2 linked regions of the Oreochromis niloticus genome follow. The protein of the gene in region 2 purifies or fractionates together with the protein of the main gene of each other region. This does not show direct contact. Links are inferred from orthologs where the notes say so. Each region holds a gene or a part of one and is shown on either strand. Other genes may lie near its edges.

Region 1 (7,580 bases), on a different chromosome or scaffold from region 2:
CGCTCACACTTCACTAATAAATGCAGAGCTGGCTTGTCTGGATTCTTTGTTTTTCTTCTCTTTTTGTGTAGGTTGGGGAGGGGGTTCAGCGCAAAGCAGACTTACTGCTGCCCTTGACATTCAACTTTAGTCTTCATGAGAAAGCGCTTGCGTTTCTTGCAATTTTCTAAGGGGTGGGGGGTGGAGAGATTTCTTCACAGACTGAGGCACGCAGCACTCTGCTCTTTCTCCAGCGCAGCACATTTGGTGGGATATTATGTGAAGGAAATGGAGAGCATAGCTGAGCAGTGAGTCATGCTGTTTACTGGTAAAAGCGACAACCAGCAGCAGGGAATCACACCCTCCTGATCTGACATTTCCTGGAAAATCCCGTTGTTTCAGGGAGAGGAAGGAAAAGTACAGAGAACCTCAGAAATGGTTGGCATGACCAGCGGAACTTTCTTGCGGAAAGGGAGGAGATCTCACCGAATATCTGTGAGAAGATATTCTCCCAGTCATGGACACTGGTTTTCAGAGCGATGTAAAGAATGAAAAAAGTGGACACATCGGTCCTTTTTTTAATTATAACTAATAATTAGTGAATAAAAGAAGACATATTAATATTCAGTCACTGCTAATAATAGTCCTAAAGATTTCGATGATGTTCCTTTAGGACAGATAGGTTGAGCAAACATTTCAAATGATTTGATTTGAGTTTGAATCACAACAAAATCGAGAGTTGCATCCAGCTCCATCAGGAATCAACAGAGAATTCCCAGCAACACAACCCGGCAATATAATTACAGGAGTACCTCTGACACTTGCCACACCTCTGACCATAATGAGGTGAAAGCAGTGGTTTGAGATCCAGTCTTTCTGACAGAAAAGACTTGATACAAGCCGCTGCCGGTGGCAGAGGGAACAATCTCAAATGCTATATAACTGCCAGGGAGTCACGTTTGACGGATGCAAGGCAGACCTGTTCAAACAATCGCCTCTTATTGCCTGTGTCCACTCTGGCTGGCATGTTCGGCTGCAAATAAAAATCACTGGCTTCCACAGTCAGTAATCAAAACTTGACATCTTTTTTCCAGTAAGAGGAGCAAAACACATCACAGCGAACGTGTTCTCTGTGAGTCATAGCATCGCTAACCACAAACATTTCACTTTCACAATACTCCACCACAAAAACGGTCTTGCATTCTGCACTGCTTTCATCCATCACCACTGTCCGGCAAAACGAGAAACAAAGGGAAGACAATTTGACCACATGCTGTATCTTCAGGGGAATTTCTCTCCCCCCACTGTCCCATACTGGTATGATGAGTCAGCTGCTGTAACTTCTCCATCCAAAAAAGATATCATCACTTTGGTGATTGAACCACATGTTAACCTCATGACAGGAGCACACCCTGCTCCTACTGCTTCAGACTGAAAGTCACTGTGCACCCACCAGAAACAACAGTGAATCATAAAGCCCCCCCTCAAGACATCAACCTGTGACCATCTAAGCGGAACAAGTTACTCAGACACAAATATTTTCCATATATTAATCACAAAAAGATCACAAGTTCTTAAGTAAATGGCAAAGGGCAAACTGAAAGGTGGACATACAAGACTGTGAAGAAGATCATTGTGAACTATTTTGGAGCCATGGTCAAAAATTCAATTAGTTATTGTAATTCCATGACAAGGTTTTCTAATATTTACCCAAGTCATTAAGAGTTATGCAGAGCAGGAATTATAGCTAAACACAGCGATAAGATAAAGTCTCTTTCGTCCTCCAAAGTGATTTATCGTTTGTGGAAATATGGGTTCCTTCTGCTGTTCCTTCTTTGTAGGCTAGTCAACCCTGGTGGTCTACCTCCACTCCACATCGTGCCCTTTGTCCCACATGTCTAAAAATGCAGACCACGTGTCGATTCCAATGTCAAAAGCAGGCTGGTATTCTGTATTATAGCACCCGCTATCAACCTCGCTGCCATGAACTGGGGAAGAGCGCGAAAATTAAGGAGGATGTGAAAAATGTTGTACATGAATTTGTTTCAACAGGAAAGTGAGGAAGTTTATTTCACTTCCATTTTCCGAAAATCTCATTCAAGTCACAGAAACGCTATAAATAAACACACATGTGGAAAAAAATGCATTTTGGGGAGTTTGGGTTTTTTTCGTTCTAGAAAAAGTTATAATCTAAAACCTTAGAGGTTCAGGTGTGCTTAGTAATAGTATATGAACATATTCTGTAACACATTCTATAACTTTAGCTCTACGTTTAATGGGAAGTGCGAAGAAATAGTGTGATTTTTACCGTCTTAATTTTTCCCTCCCACAATGCTGGTCGAAAACGTCTCCTCGCTCGCAGTTTATTAAATTTATTAGCTATAATTTTTTTTAAAGGGACCGCATTCAGTCAGCGTCATAATCGCCTCTGTTATTTTCAAAGAACTATTTCAAATCGCAGGAAAGCGGCAAAACACACCGTTTGTTTCCCCCTTTTACATATTTTCATACCATTTCTAACTTCCTATATGCGAATGCTCCGAGGTCTGCGCCACTTTTGAAGCACTGTATTATGTATCTCCAGCACAACACGTGTCCGCCCGAAAGAAACAAATCTACGAAATCAACATGAGCTTTCATAACTGGGATCAAAACTTATCCTACGAGGAGGATGCACCACACAAGCCTGTTTGCGTGCGCCACTATGTCACCGTGAGAACTCGAGTAATTTAGAAAGGAATGTCAAAACATCTTCCCGAAAAAAAATAAATAATTAAATTAAAAAATAAAATACAACCTCACCTCTGTGGACGCAGATATCTGTGGACCGGAGTGCGTAAAACTGTCAAAGTATGTTTCCTCGACAACCGGTGAAGTAAGTTGACAAAGTTGGTAAAAAGCGTCCAGCACAGACGGGCAGCGGCGTATCCTCGTACTAAATTAACTACAAAACAACAACAATGTACCAACATTCCACGCTCTGCTTCCGCAAGCACTCACGTCACTGATTCCTCGTGACCGCCCCCTCCATTCATGAAAATAACTTTGTGCTGACGTCAGTCTGGGGAGGTGGGGTGGGGGGGGAGGCCTGGGGGAGGCCATAAATAGAAGACAGATACTGCTGGCGACTGCTTTTGCTTACTTTACAAAACTAATCTGCACAAAGTCAGCTCACGTTGCCAACATTAGCCAAGAAAAACTTCTGATTTCTTAAGGAAGTCATAAACCTGTTGCTCTCTAAGTATGCTCACCACCCCCTCTCCTCCTCCTCCCCCTCCTCCTCCTCCTATAAGCACACTCTTTTTGAGTCAGCTCTGCACTACAAGGTATTCAAAAAAATACCTTTGAGTGAGGGAAAACAGCGACCTCCTCCCTCAGACTTGAGGAGCAGCAGCAGCATTCCATTCCTGAGGAAAGTATGTGGTGTAGTAGTTCAGCAGTCCCAGGATTTCTCTTATTTTAACTGCACTACTGCCAATAGCGTCACCAGTTATTCTGGGTAATTAAGTACTGAATGTAAATATGTTAAGTCACTAGCCTTTTATGGCCTCTACTTGTATGGCTTTTCCTCTGCAGCTATATGGTATTAGAAGATCTCAGCTTTGACCTGAACTGTGGTGCCTGTTAAAGTCAGATGCAGTGTGCTGACACTAGAAAAAACTTTCTTTTTTTTTTTTTTGCTGGTTGGACCAGCAAAAAGTTTTTAGCTTGTATTTGTTAGAGACAATGCAGTAAAACCCTGGGAAAAGTGAACATCTGGATCCAAAGCCATCCAAATATGTAGATTCTGGTTTTGGTTTATTAAAGTGCATACTCAGCCATTTGTAGTTATTTATTGGTTTATGCCTACCTATGACGAATATCAAACCGTTAAATACTCTCTTGATCTGTTATTGTGCATTTACCATACATCTCTTCTAAGCATGGACATGCTGTCAGGACGTCAGGGAAGTTTTTTTTTTTTTCTTTGACCATTTTAGGCCAAAAGCAGCTTCATTATTGAATCATTTTTGTTCCGTGATGTTTAATGGTGCTATCTTTAGCAAGTGGTGAGACGAATGAGGAAACACAGCAGCACACAGACACGATGTCAGATCCATGACGAAAAGCGTGACCTTTAGATAAAGAATGAGTTGTAGTTTATTAGTAAATAAAGAAGAAATGCTGAGTTGGCTTCTGGCTGTGCGATTCAGTGCGCTGAGATCTTTCTGTGCAGACTTCTCTCTGGTGGGTGGATGGTTTAACATTTACAGTTTTTCCAAAGCACTGGACAAAAACATTGGAGACTGACAATTCTGAGTCAGAGAGGAGTAGTCCTTTATACGATTCACAAAAGCTTGCTTACAGAAAAACTGACTAATTCCTTCGAATCTTTTTTTTTTACTCTGGCTTTATGCCAGACAAGCAGACTGGGATAGATTTAAAATGAATGTCATCATTTATGGCAAATGACTCAACAGTTCAACCTTTTCCCCCGAATCACATATGGAATCAATTGTTTACTAAGGATGGTTGGCTCCGTCCTTTCATCTGCGCTGGAACCTGCTTCGAGTAAAAAGCAAATAAACCAGATGAGTAACCTTCTTTTTGTACAGGTTACTTGCATCACATCACAGATTATAGATGAGACGAGACCCAAATGAGTTATTAGAATAACTGTTATTGGACTGTATTAAAGATGAGCTTAAGTAAATCAGGATCACATATTAAGTGAAATAAGATGATGGGATACAATGCAGAAAATGTAAATAAAAAATACAAAAGTTTGTTGTATTGCTTGTTTTCTAGAGAATGTGCAGACAGAGAAAAGAAAGAGATCAAACTGGAGAGTCTCTGCAGGACCACCGCGAATATTCTGCACCAGTCAGACATCCAGCTGCTCAGTCAATGGCATAACCCTCAGTTACTGTCCATCTGGCAGCAGCGTATGCCGGTGACCTGAAATACACCCGATGTGTGAAACAAAACAAAAACAGCAAAACCATGTGCAGCAGACTTGCCGGGGTTTTTGTCAGACCGACGTGCTGTGGGGTCTGGGTTCTTGCGGGCAGTTTTGAATTACAGGAAGTAACATTGACTCACTAATCTGGGTTCTTTCTGACTCAGACTTCTCAACTCCTAAGAAATCTGATCTGGTACAAAGAGGCCCACTGTTGTAAGGGGATCATTCCTTTTCTTCCAAATACTCCAAATGATTTGTTAGCAGAAGAATGGTTTTAAGATATTTATAGGATACTTTAAACTCACAGCCAATTAACTCACACTGCATTAAAAATAATAATAATCCTGTTTTCCTCCCACTAGATCCTTCCACATTGTCCAGGCACAACTTGCTGAAAATACCCGACATATTAGACAGCCAGCTCTGGCACAGTCTGAGCTGTACGTAATTTCGAAAGCTAAAAAACAGCTTTTTTTGTACATTTGTAGACTTCACATGTGACACAAGATTTAATTTGGAGCATTTACTGAACATTCCACTGACTTCACCAAAATGTGTTTCATATGAAAACACTTTACGTAACCAGCTGGCAGCTTAGAGCAGCATGGAAATGAACATGGTGAGGTTACAGTGGTAGTGATGGCAGTACTAGCTGGAGCAAACACTGGTGGACTGTTTAAAGTCTAATACCAAGGTTCTCTTTTACGCTTTAAATGGCAAAAAAAAAGTGAGTTTGGGAATTTGCAGACAGCAAGAGAGCAGAGAGAAGGACAGAGTAATTTCTCTTTTTTAGTCCTGTCACAGCTGAGCAATGCTTAAGGAATGAACAATTCACTGCTGCTGACTATGGGCGGGACTAAATATGGGCATTATAAAGTGTAACGCTTTGATGCTCTCCTTTTTTTCCCCTAAAGCTACTGATAGCTGTAAATTTGAAAAAAAAAGTGAAGATTAACACTCAAAATGAACACTGTTAATTCTCCAAATGTAACTATATACAGAAAAGTTTAGTCACTATAAGCATAAAATAAGCCTCTGCTTGCAAAGTGACAAGTGGAGCCTGTCTTAATTAAACCCATCTAGAGTTTGCTGCTTCACTTTGAAATCATCATGCCACGATCTTAAGTTCTCTCTTTTTTTTTTAATTATTTTTTTAGGTCCACAATTCCACTCTCAGTAAAAACTGTAGATTTTAGATGGCTGCCAGTTTTTACTGAACCGGCTGCCAAAGCAAATCCAACCCCAGAGTGACAAAACCCCTAGTTTTAACTGGAGGAGCTGCAGGTAGCTCATGCAAGTGTTGCTGTCAAAGCAAAGGTTTAGATAATCAGAAAGAGATGGCTCCCTGTACTGAAGATGTGGCAGGGAAAAAACTTTGATGTTCAAAGCAAATAATTTAAGAGTAAAATACATTTTGCCAACAGGCTAAGGCTGGGAGCTTTAGAATAATTTGTTCTGGATAGACAAATCAGAGGCAGATTTTTGGTTAAAGTAACAGTAGACATGTTTGTCACACAGGGAGCTTAGTAGATGAAGAAATGGCAGAAATGGTAAGGTCTGGGGTTGCTTCCTTTCTCTTGGGGGGCTGGGCAATCATTCATTGAACTATAAATTCTGCATCATAACTAAGATTATTGGAATATAATATGAGGCTACCTGTCTGAAAAGTGAATCAGAAAGGGACATTTCAACAAGGCAATAATTAACCTCCAGTCCACTCTGGAATAACTCAAAAGTAAGAACTGTAAGGTGATGGAATGGCCTTAAAGACCAGAGTTCAAAAAGGATTTGATAGAGGAACTGCTGTTTGAAAACCCTCCCGCCTATGGTTATCTGGCAACTGAAGGAATTTTGGATAGAAGAGTGGTTAAAAAATTTCAACCACCCAGTGCCAGATAGTAAGCAATTATGCAAAAACTCTTAAAATGGTTATTTCTGCTAAATGGGGCAAAAAAGCACCTGCATCCCTCCACAGAAGAATATTTAATCTTCATATTTTAGTAGAATAGCTGATTGACCTGCATCTCATTCCAGACCTTTGGCTGCGGTGTTTTTGAAAGCGAAATGCAGTTCTTTTATTAAGCTTAAAAGCAGCCAAAGTTTTGCTTGGATTTTATTTTTTTCAATTAATTTTCACAAAGGATGAAAGTAATTAAACGCATGATGTGAATCAAATGAATTGACGAGAGCTATCTCGTCTCTTAATTCATAATAAAGTGCTTAAAACTCAGAGTTCAAATGCAATGCTTGCCTTTTTGTCCTCCGACTTCACAAGGGAACACAAAGGAGACTAAAAATGAAGGTTAAATGATAAAGAAGAGGGGTATTTTTTCAAGCTTGACCAGTCTAAAGCTGTAGTGAGGAACAGTGTGCAGAAATAATGATGACTATGATTATGAGATGGCAAAATATCTGCAGACTCTGGCACAAGTGATGATGAAAAAGCTTTCCAAGGCAATGACTGAACCCCATTAAGCAAATGCCAGTAACTGCTTAAAATGATTCACGGTTTTGCAGCATTTGAGTCGGAGTGATGACATCTGCTGGCCATTTCTTTATCTTTCACTTGGGATTTTAGAAAAGACCTCATCAAAAAAGCTGAGTCCAAGTATAAAACATTGCTGTTATTCTCATATTTTTCTCCAATAGAAAGAGATTT
Region 2 (7,806 bases):
AACAAACAAGATATGGTAGTTTTTCATTGCAGTCATTATTGTTGGGTTTTGTAAGGTTGCAGATAATTGATAAGCATTATTGTAATCTTCCAGGTCTATTGTGACTGTACTGCTGCTCTGATCTGTTACGGACACCTAGTGTAAGTATATTTTTATATATTGAAAATAAATTGATGCTTATGCAGTGCAACTTATTAGCTGTGTTAAAACTCGTCTGGGCAGTTACTATGAATCATTACTTAGATGTAAGTTGTTTTTTGGGACATAAAAACTACAAATATAGAATCACAAGTTGAATCTGATCAATAATGATAATAATAACAATAATAATAATAATAATAATAATAATAATAATAATAATAATAATATTGGCTTTAAAACTTTGCAAACACTGCCCCATCATAAGGTTTTAAAAAGTTATTTCACCATCTCTGCTGTTGTGAAATTTTCCTCTAGATTTCATTCAGGGATCTTGAATTCTTTGGTTCTTATAAAGTCTCTAGTGTTTTCTGAATGCAAAAGCAGAGTCACTGGTTTACACATATCATTTCACATGGTAAGAACACGATACTAACCGCTGGTCAGAGAACAGACCAGCTGGAACTGAAAATCTTCTTGCAGTTAATGTTTGTTGAGTGATGTAATAATGAGATTTCTCACTAGGGATCTATTAAACTGATCGTGCTTACAATAAAATGTGACAAGCAATTATAAAAGTATTATTTTTATGCGATTCGCGTGTCTTGATTATACTAATGGGCAAAGAAATCAAAGCTTGACGTAAGCTTACAAAGTCACTGTGAGGTTTACAGTATGGACTCCACCCCTTCCCCTCCTCACAGTACACAGAGGACTGCCATGCCTGGGAAAAGAAAGGTAGGGGGCTACTGTAGAGAACAAAGGGTTCCGTGCGTAAAACTGCGCATGAGTGCCACCGCCGTGCACGCGTCGCCAAAGCAGCGCGTTGTCTGTGAAAATGTGAGTTCACGTCAGCTGCCTTTACACCACCAGTGAGATCCTATTAGCTCCTATTACCCATGCACCTGCTCTCGGCACAGCTTAAACCCATCCCTGTGGCGGCTGCGTGGAGTCACGGCGTTTCGGGTGTTTCAAAAGAATGCGCAACGCATCATGACAAAGGTTCTTGAGCATGATGATGGAGGATCCATCCATGATGCTGCGATCGCTCCGCCGTTTGCTTTGCATCAGCATTATCAGACAAAGAGGATGGTATGCTTCCTCGAAATGCTGCATCACCGCATTTATAGCAGCATCACTCCGCTCCCTTATGATTCCAGGCCCCTCCGCTGCCGAGGCAAACACATGGCCATCAAACAATAGTCATGACGAAACAAACACTATTAAGAAAAAGCCCTGCCTGCCTGCACACTCTGCACACACGCGTCTCTTTAACGACAGAGGGAAACAATGCAAACGCGAGTGCCTGCAGCCGCCGATATGAAGCCAACTAATCTCACTGTAAACACAAACGAGGAACATTCTCATAAATCTCTTTAAGGTCGTAATGCATGGCAGCACGTGACACTACACTGTTTAGATATATATTATCCATGATCACATTTTTTTGAAAAAAAGAGTCTCCTTAAAAATGCCCCTTTATATCTACTGAGGTGCATCTCAGCACATTACTGACTCAAGATAGACTAAGACGCGATTGCAGCATCCCCTCACATGACAATGCAGCTCCGCGCAGAAGGGTGCAGTTTGATTTAAAAATGCCTATTTTATATTCTCGAACATGATGGCAGACTAAGAAATATATATATAATAATGAAATATGGGTTCAACGTCAAACGAGGGATTGATTGTTATAATGTGGATTAATGATAAGGTGTGCTTATTTCAGTTCAGTTTATTTTATTTATATAGCGCCAAATCACAACGCCCAATAGGCTTTATATTTTAAGGTAACGACCCTACAGTAATACAATAATTTCACATAGAGTGAAATAAACTGGAATAGCGGTAGTAACAGTTCTAATGAGCTCCACATGAACTAGATGCACACGTATTGAACGAGGAAGGTGTTTAATGACTCTGCATGTGAATCCTGACGGATCACCACCGACTACTTTACCATATTGGATAAAAAAACAAAAACAAAAAAACAACAGTACAGAGGAGCACACAGAGAGCGGTGACTCAAAGCATAACAGGATGCGGTACAGAGTTGTGTTTCACTCCTGAACCCGCGTTCACACCCCATCACATTACAGGCTTCAATATTCGTACCACGCGCCAGGCTTTCAAGATTCATGAGTGCGGTTCTGCTTTTTCCCCAATAAAGTCGATTTTTTATGCATCTCAGCAGGAGCTCTGCTGGGTGTAGCCCACTACCACTGCGTCACTTATGCAAGTTTGCGTCTCGGTTATGAGAGCATCAACAATAGACCGAGATTGAAAGCTAACAAAAAGAACAGCTAGAGAGCGAGAAAAGGAGAGAGAGAGAGAGAGAGAGCGGGAGAGAGAGAGCGGTCAGAGAGGAAAAAGACGTGCACGCCAGCTCACCTTTTCCGTCCTATTCTGCTCGTACTCCAGCCCTTTTGTCCGTTTCCCACAAGTTCTTTCACATGATGACTCGGTTTGCCGTTTCCTCAAACCCTCCTGGTTGCAGATGGATGACTTCTCTCGGTGCCGCAACTCGGTTCTTTGTCACTTACAAGAATGTTAATTTAAAACACACACACACAGACACACACACACTACAGTGTCTGTGATTTTACGATTTGTTGTGTACGTGTGCGCGCGCGTGTGTGCGTGTTGATCCTGCACGGCGTGCCGCTCCTTCTCTGCTGTTTGTTACACTCGACTGGAACGCCTACTCTCAGTCGCTACATTGTTGACATTCGCCCGCTGACGTCACTCATCCTCTCATTCACAACATCGTTAGCGCGACGCGGCGTTGCGTTGAAGCCGGCGGGAAGCGCGTGCGTAGTCCTTCGAAAGTGCGCAACGGAGCTTGGAGAATCGCACTATTCTGACTTTCTAGCTCAAATCCCTCCCCCTCGCGCTTGCTGGCTTTCTGGACTCCCTCCCTCCCTCCCTCCCTCCCCTGCACACCATGCTTTCTCCTGGTCCTCCCTCCCCCCTCTCGTGAATGCAGCGGGAAAATTACGATTAATGATGACACAAGGCATTTTTTTCGCATGTGAGAACAATTAAAGGGGGTGTTTAGCTGACTTATTTTCTGATCACATTAAAAGCCTTATAAGGGAACACTGAAATCTATCTATCTTCTTTTCAAGTGTGGGAACTATTTTCTTTAATGTTTTCGTTTTCCACACGCTCCTCTACCATTTTCATTTATTAATGTGCTTTACTGAACTCATTACCTGACACACATTTGCAAAAAGAATAATTAATAGTTTAAGCTCGCAACTTCCACGTAATTAACAACACAAAAGTCAGTGTGTCAGAATGAAAATATAGTTAAAGTAACCAAAGTAAAAATAATCATTAGGCAGATTCAGCCTTTTAAGAATCAAATATTTATCTATTATTTATACATTATTTATTTATTTACTTATAGCTATAATGTTGTTAAATTACTTATACATGGGATAACTTTTACTTCAATTAGAATTTATCTGTACAGTGCCAAACAACAACAACAGTTGGCAAAGACATTTATCTCTAATAACTTATATTAAGAAGACTGATATTTTTAAATGTGGATAATAATAAGTAAGAAAAATGTTAAAAATAAATGTCAAGTAACAGAAAGCTCACTGATACCTGTTCTACTGTTTGTTATAAAAATAAAAAAATGCATTATTAAAGTAAATATCTAATCAGCCAATCACATGGCAGCCACTGAATTTATTTAGGTGTGTAGATATGATCAAGATGACCTGTTGAGGTTAAAATTGACCATTAGAATGGAAAGGAGTGGTGATTTAGTGATGCTAAAGCTGACATGGTTGAAGGAGGCTACTCTGAGTATTTCAGAAAGTGCTGATCTGCTGTGAATTTCCTACACAACTATCTAAAAGGTTTACAGAGAATAGTGTGAAAAAATAGCAGATATCAAATGAGAAAGCAGTTCTCTGAGCAAAATGGCCACTTTTAATGTCAGACATTAGAGGAGAATTGTCAGACAACTCAAATAACCACCTGTTATGCAGAAGAATATCTCTGAACACACACCACAGCAAACCTTGAAGCAGATGGGCGACAGCAGCAGAAGACTACACCAGGTGCCACACATGCCAGCTGAAAACAAAAAACTGAGGCAACAGTTTGTATGGGCTCGCTAAAATTGGTTAACAGAAGATTGGAAAAAAAAATGCTGCCTGGTATGACGAGTCTTAAATTGTACTGCAATATTCAGCGCTGGCGATGGTCTTTTGGCATGGTTGATATTTTTTTTTGGCTATTTCCATTGGCTTTAGTACCCAGTGTGCATTATTTAAATGCCACAGCATATCCAAGTGTTCTTCCCGACCATATCCACCCATTTATGACCACAGTCAGAACAAACAGACATTTAGGATGTAATGGAGCAGGAGATTCACATCTTAAAAGTGCTGCCAACAAATCTACAGAAACTGTGTAATGTTATCATATCATAGAAAAATAGTAAAATACTAGTTCATTAAAACTTTACTTCAGTAAAGTGTTTAAGAAAAGTTATAGTCCATGTCCTGTCATGACAACAGTTTGACATAACTGTAGCACTCTGGCTAGTGCAAGTTCTTAAAAAAACAATATGAAATTATGAAAAACAAATGAAAAATTTCTCACCTAAGAAATTCAATAAGAAATTCAGTTTTTATTCTGTGATCATTTAAATTAATGTTTATAATACATATGCTTTGTGTGCAGTGTAAAGTGGGTCTCTACTAAATAATTTAGCTACTAAATAAATAAATACACAAATAGATATAAGGATCTAAGGAATATTGTGCAAATGAAGTTCAACCAAGCCAAGCTTTCTTTGCATTAGCTGGCTTGAAAAAACCTAAAACTCCAGTTGGAGATAACAGGTATCACGGCAATTAAGAGAAAGTTATTAACTTTCCATCCTACGCCAAGGAGATTTGGCTCAGCATGTGAAGCAGAGCATCTACTAATTGTAAAGTTAGTGGTATGATCCCTGACTAACCCAAAGTGTCCTTAGGCAAGATAATGAACCCCAAGTTCCTGATGCTCCTGGAGTTTGAATCTGGGAGAGAAAACACTTTAACATAGAAAAAATTGGGTGAATGAAAAGCACTTTGAATGCTAGATTAGAAAACCAGTATATGAGGACCAGTCCATTAACCATTTATTCTTCTTCACACAAAATGACCCTTATTAGTGCAGCCTTCTCAAATCAGAGACATTATCAGATAGCGATGAGAAAATGGTGATTGGAAATCTCTAAAGAACATACAACAGTAAAAAGCAATGCTGTTACAAATAAGACAAAAAATTCATGCTGCAGAAAATTGTTGCTCTTAGGATTTATCACACACAGTGGAAAAATGACATCTTAATTCAAGTTAATTATTTTATAGTTGAGCTTACTCTCAGTGCTACTGTTTGTTTCGAACATGTGGCTCTGAAACTTTATCATGTGGCTCATATTTTAAGTATAGTTAGTTTCCTGGTAACACATTAGCATTAAAAAAAAAGATTGTACAGTAGGACTGACAGAAGACAACAGAATATCTCTATTTCCTCCTCAAACAGCTGACAGTATTATTTCATATGTTCTTTAAAAACAATTCAGATGTAACCATTCAAGTAGAGATTGCTCTTTTGTTGAACTTCAGTCAACTGTCAGTTGGGCCACAACTTATTACAAATATTCGATCAACTCCTCACATCTGACACAGACGAGGTCTTAGGAACCAAAAAGCATAAGGCTGTGGGGCTGTTGCCAGTTTGCCTTGATGGTGATGAATATGAGTGCTCATATTTCTTTTTAAAGAATATATTCTAATATTGTAATATGCACACTCAAACCTGGAGACCGTAATTAGTGCAAAAACCACTTTGTTTTCTCATGAACGCAAATGCAAATGAATGGTGCTTTATGAGCTGAGTGAAGTTGTGAAAGGGGAGTAAGCTGGTGAACTCTGTTCAGCTTAGATACCTGGAAGGCACTCGCACCCTTTTTGGACAAGTAAACACTCACTGGAGATGTTTTAATTTCTAATGGAAGAAATGTCCCCTGGGGAGTTTGCATGTAATTATGAATTATCATTGTAAAACATACAGCCCCTTCTTTGTGGCAGAATTTACTTGGATATTGGATACTGGATATTCCACTGAGTGGCATTCAAAGAATAGCATTAAACTAACAATCTGAAATTGTGCTGCTCCTGACATCAAAATAACAAAGCCAGCAGTTTTTAAGGTGCTTAGATAAAAGACAGGGAGTTATTATATTTTTTGTACAGTATGAATAGGGAGGTGGTGATAATAATTCATGACTGTAAGTTCATTTTATTAATTTTCTTCTAGTATAATTCATAAACAAGAATTTGTAAATAAATAAGCCCTGATCATGAACACTGAACATGCAATTAACATGTTGAGAATAATGAAACACAGTCAGAGATGAAACATGGACTGTCTTAATTAAAGGATATGTCAAGAAATCATCCTTCTGATGATCAAAGCTGCAGTGTCTAGATAAGAAGTACATATTTTTCAAGCTTTCAAACTAAATAAAGAAAAAAAAACCATCATAAAATTAACATAAAATGTCAAATAAATAATCAAATAAGCAAAAAAAACTCCACACACTAAAAGCCACTACATCTACCTTCTTAGGTTTGGAGGAAAATCATGTTTTAGCATGCATTACTCATAATTTAAAAGTCAAATGTGGAAGGGGAAAATGAGGGCGCCCAGAAATAAGGAGCTAAATGACAACTAAAAAGCAAAGAAGTCTGTCAAAGGGTGATTTTGGGGAGTCTAAAGACATTGTTTGACAATGCAGCAGCTAATCCCCCAGATTAGTAAAGATATTCATATTCATATGAATCTTTGCAGAAACCTTCAGGACATATGAGGATTTTTAGCTCCTATATGCAAAGCCATGGGCCTTCAAAGCCGGGCCGGGGGCCTTCAGGAGGTGGGAGCAGCCCTGTGTCTAAAGAGTGTTGGGAGATGAGTGTCACGTCTTTGTCTCAGTGTGCGTTTTTGACAGTCATCCATATGCTCATTCTCTCAATGCATACAGAGAATTTAATTATAGAGTACACACACACACACACACACACACACACACACACACACACACACACACACACACACACACACACAGACTGCCATTCCTGCACCCAATGACCCGATCTGTTCAGGGCAGGCAGATGATTGAAATGGGCTGAGTGGGGGAACTGGGGGAAACCGTGGCAGATTAATGCAGGAGTGGTAGCGCAAATGTTTACAATGTACTAGCCTTACCACACAGAGCCTACAATGTGGACAAACAATTTAGGAATAATCAGGAAGTCTAAGTGTTAGACCTAATAAAAACAGCATGTCATTTCTTCATGACAGAAAAAGGAAGGTCCATGCAGTGATGTGGAGTGAGGGGATGCTAGTGGAACCTTTGGAACCCTCAGGCCAGATCCGTATTCCTAAATTACAAGAATATGGATCAGGCCTGAAGGTAACACGAGCCTGACGAGTCGGTCTGTGGAAGCCCCCGTTATGAATGGTGGTTAGCTGGGTCTTTGGGTCCCTCTCAGACTTGGAGCTATTGATGTAATCAAAGGCATTTGGCTTCAAGACATGCTTGCTGGCTGACAGCACTGCATTTACGTCCTTGTGCCTCTGTCTGGACTTGTC

The links.
Region 1: the proteins of bach2b (region 2) and mafk purify together in Homo sapiens (co-immunoprecipitation; 3 studies listed by BioGRID and IntAct, with this or other methods). This does not show direct contact. The link is inferred for Oreochromis niloticus from reciprocal best matches to the Homo sapiens genes BACH2 and MAFK.

What each region holds. Positions count from the first base shown.
Region 1 is NC_031969.2:25,402,668-25,410,247, reverse strand, and holds the start of mafk (transcription factor MafK), read right to left. Parts: upstream 3,008-7,580; 5' UTR 2,777-3,007; intron 2,727-2,776; exon of another isoform or gene 2,288-2,726; intron 1,964-2,287; exon of another isoform or gene 1,690-1,963; intron 1-1,689. UniProt on the Homo sapiens protein: Since they lack a putative transactivation domain, the small Mafs behave as transcriptional repressors when they dimerize among themselves.
Region 2 is NC_031980.2:29,165,208-29,173,013, forward strand, and holds the start of bach2b (transcription regulator protein BACH2), read right to left. Parts: upstream 3,009-7,806; 5' UTR 2,530-3,008; intron 141-2,529; exon of another isoform or gene 94-140; intron 1-93. UniProt on the Homo sapiens protein: Transcriptional regulator that acts as a repressor or activator. Binds to Maf recognition elements (MARE). Plays an important role in coordinating transcription activation and repression by MAFK.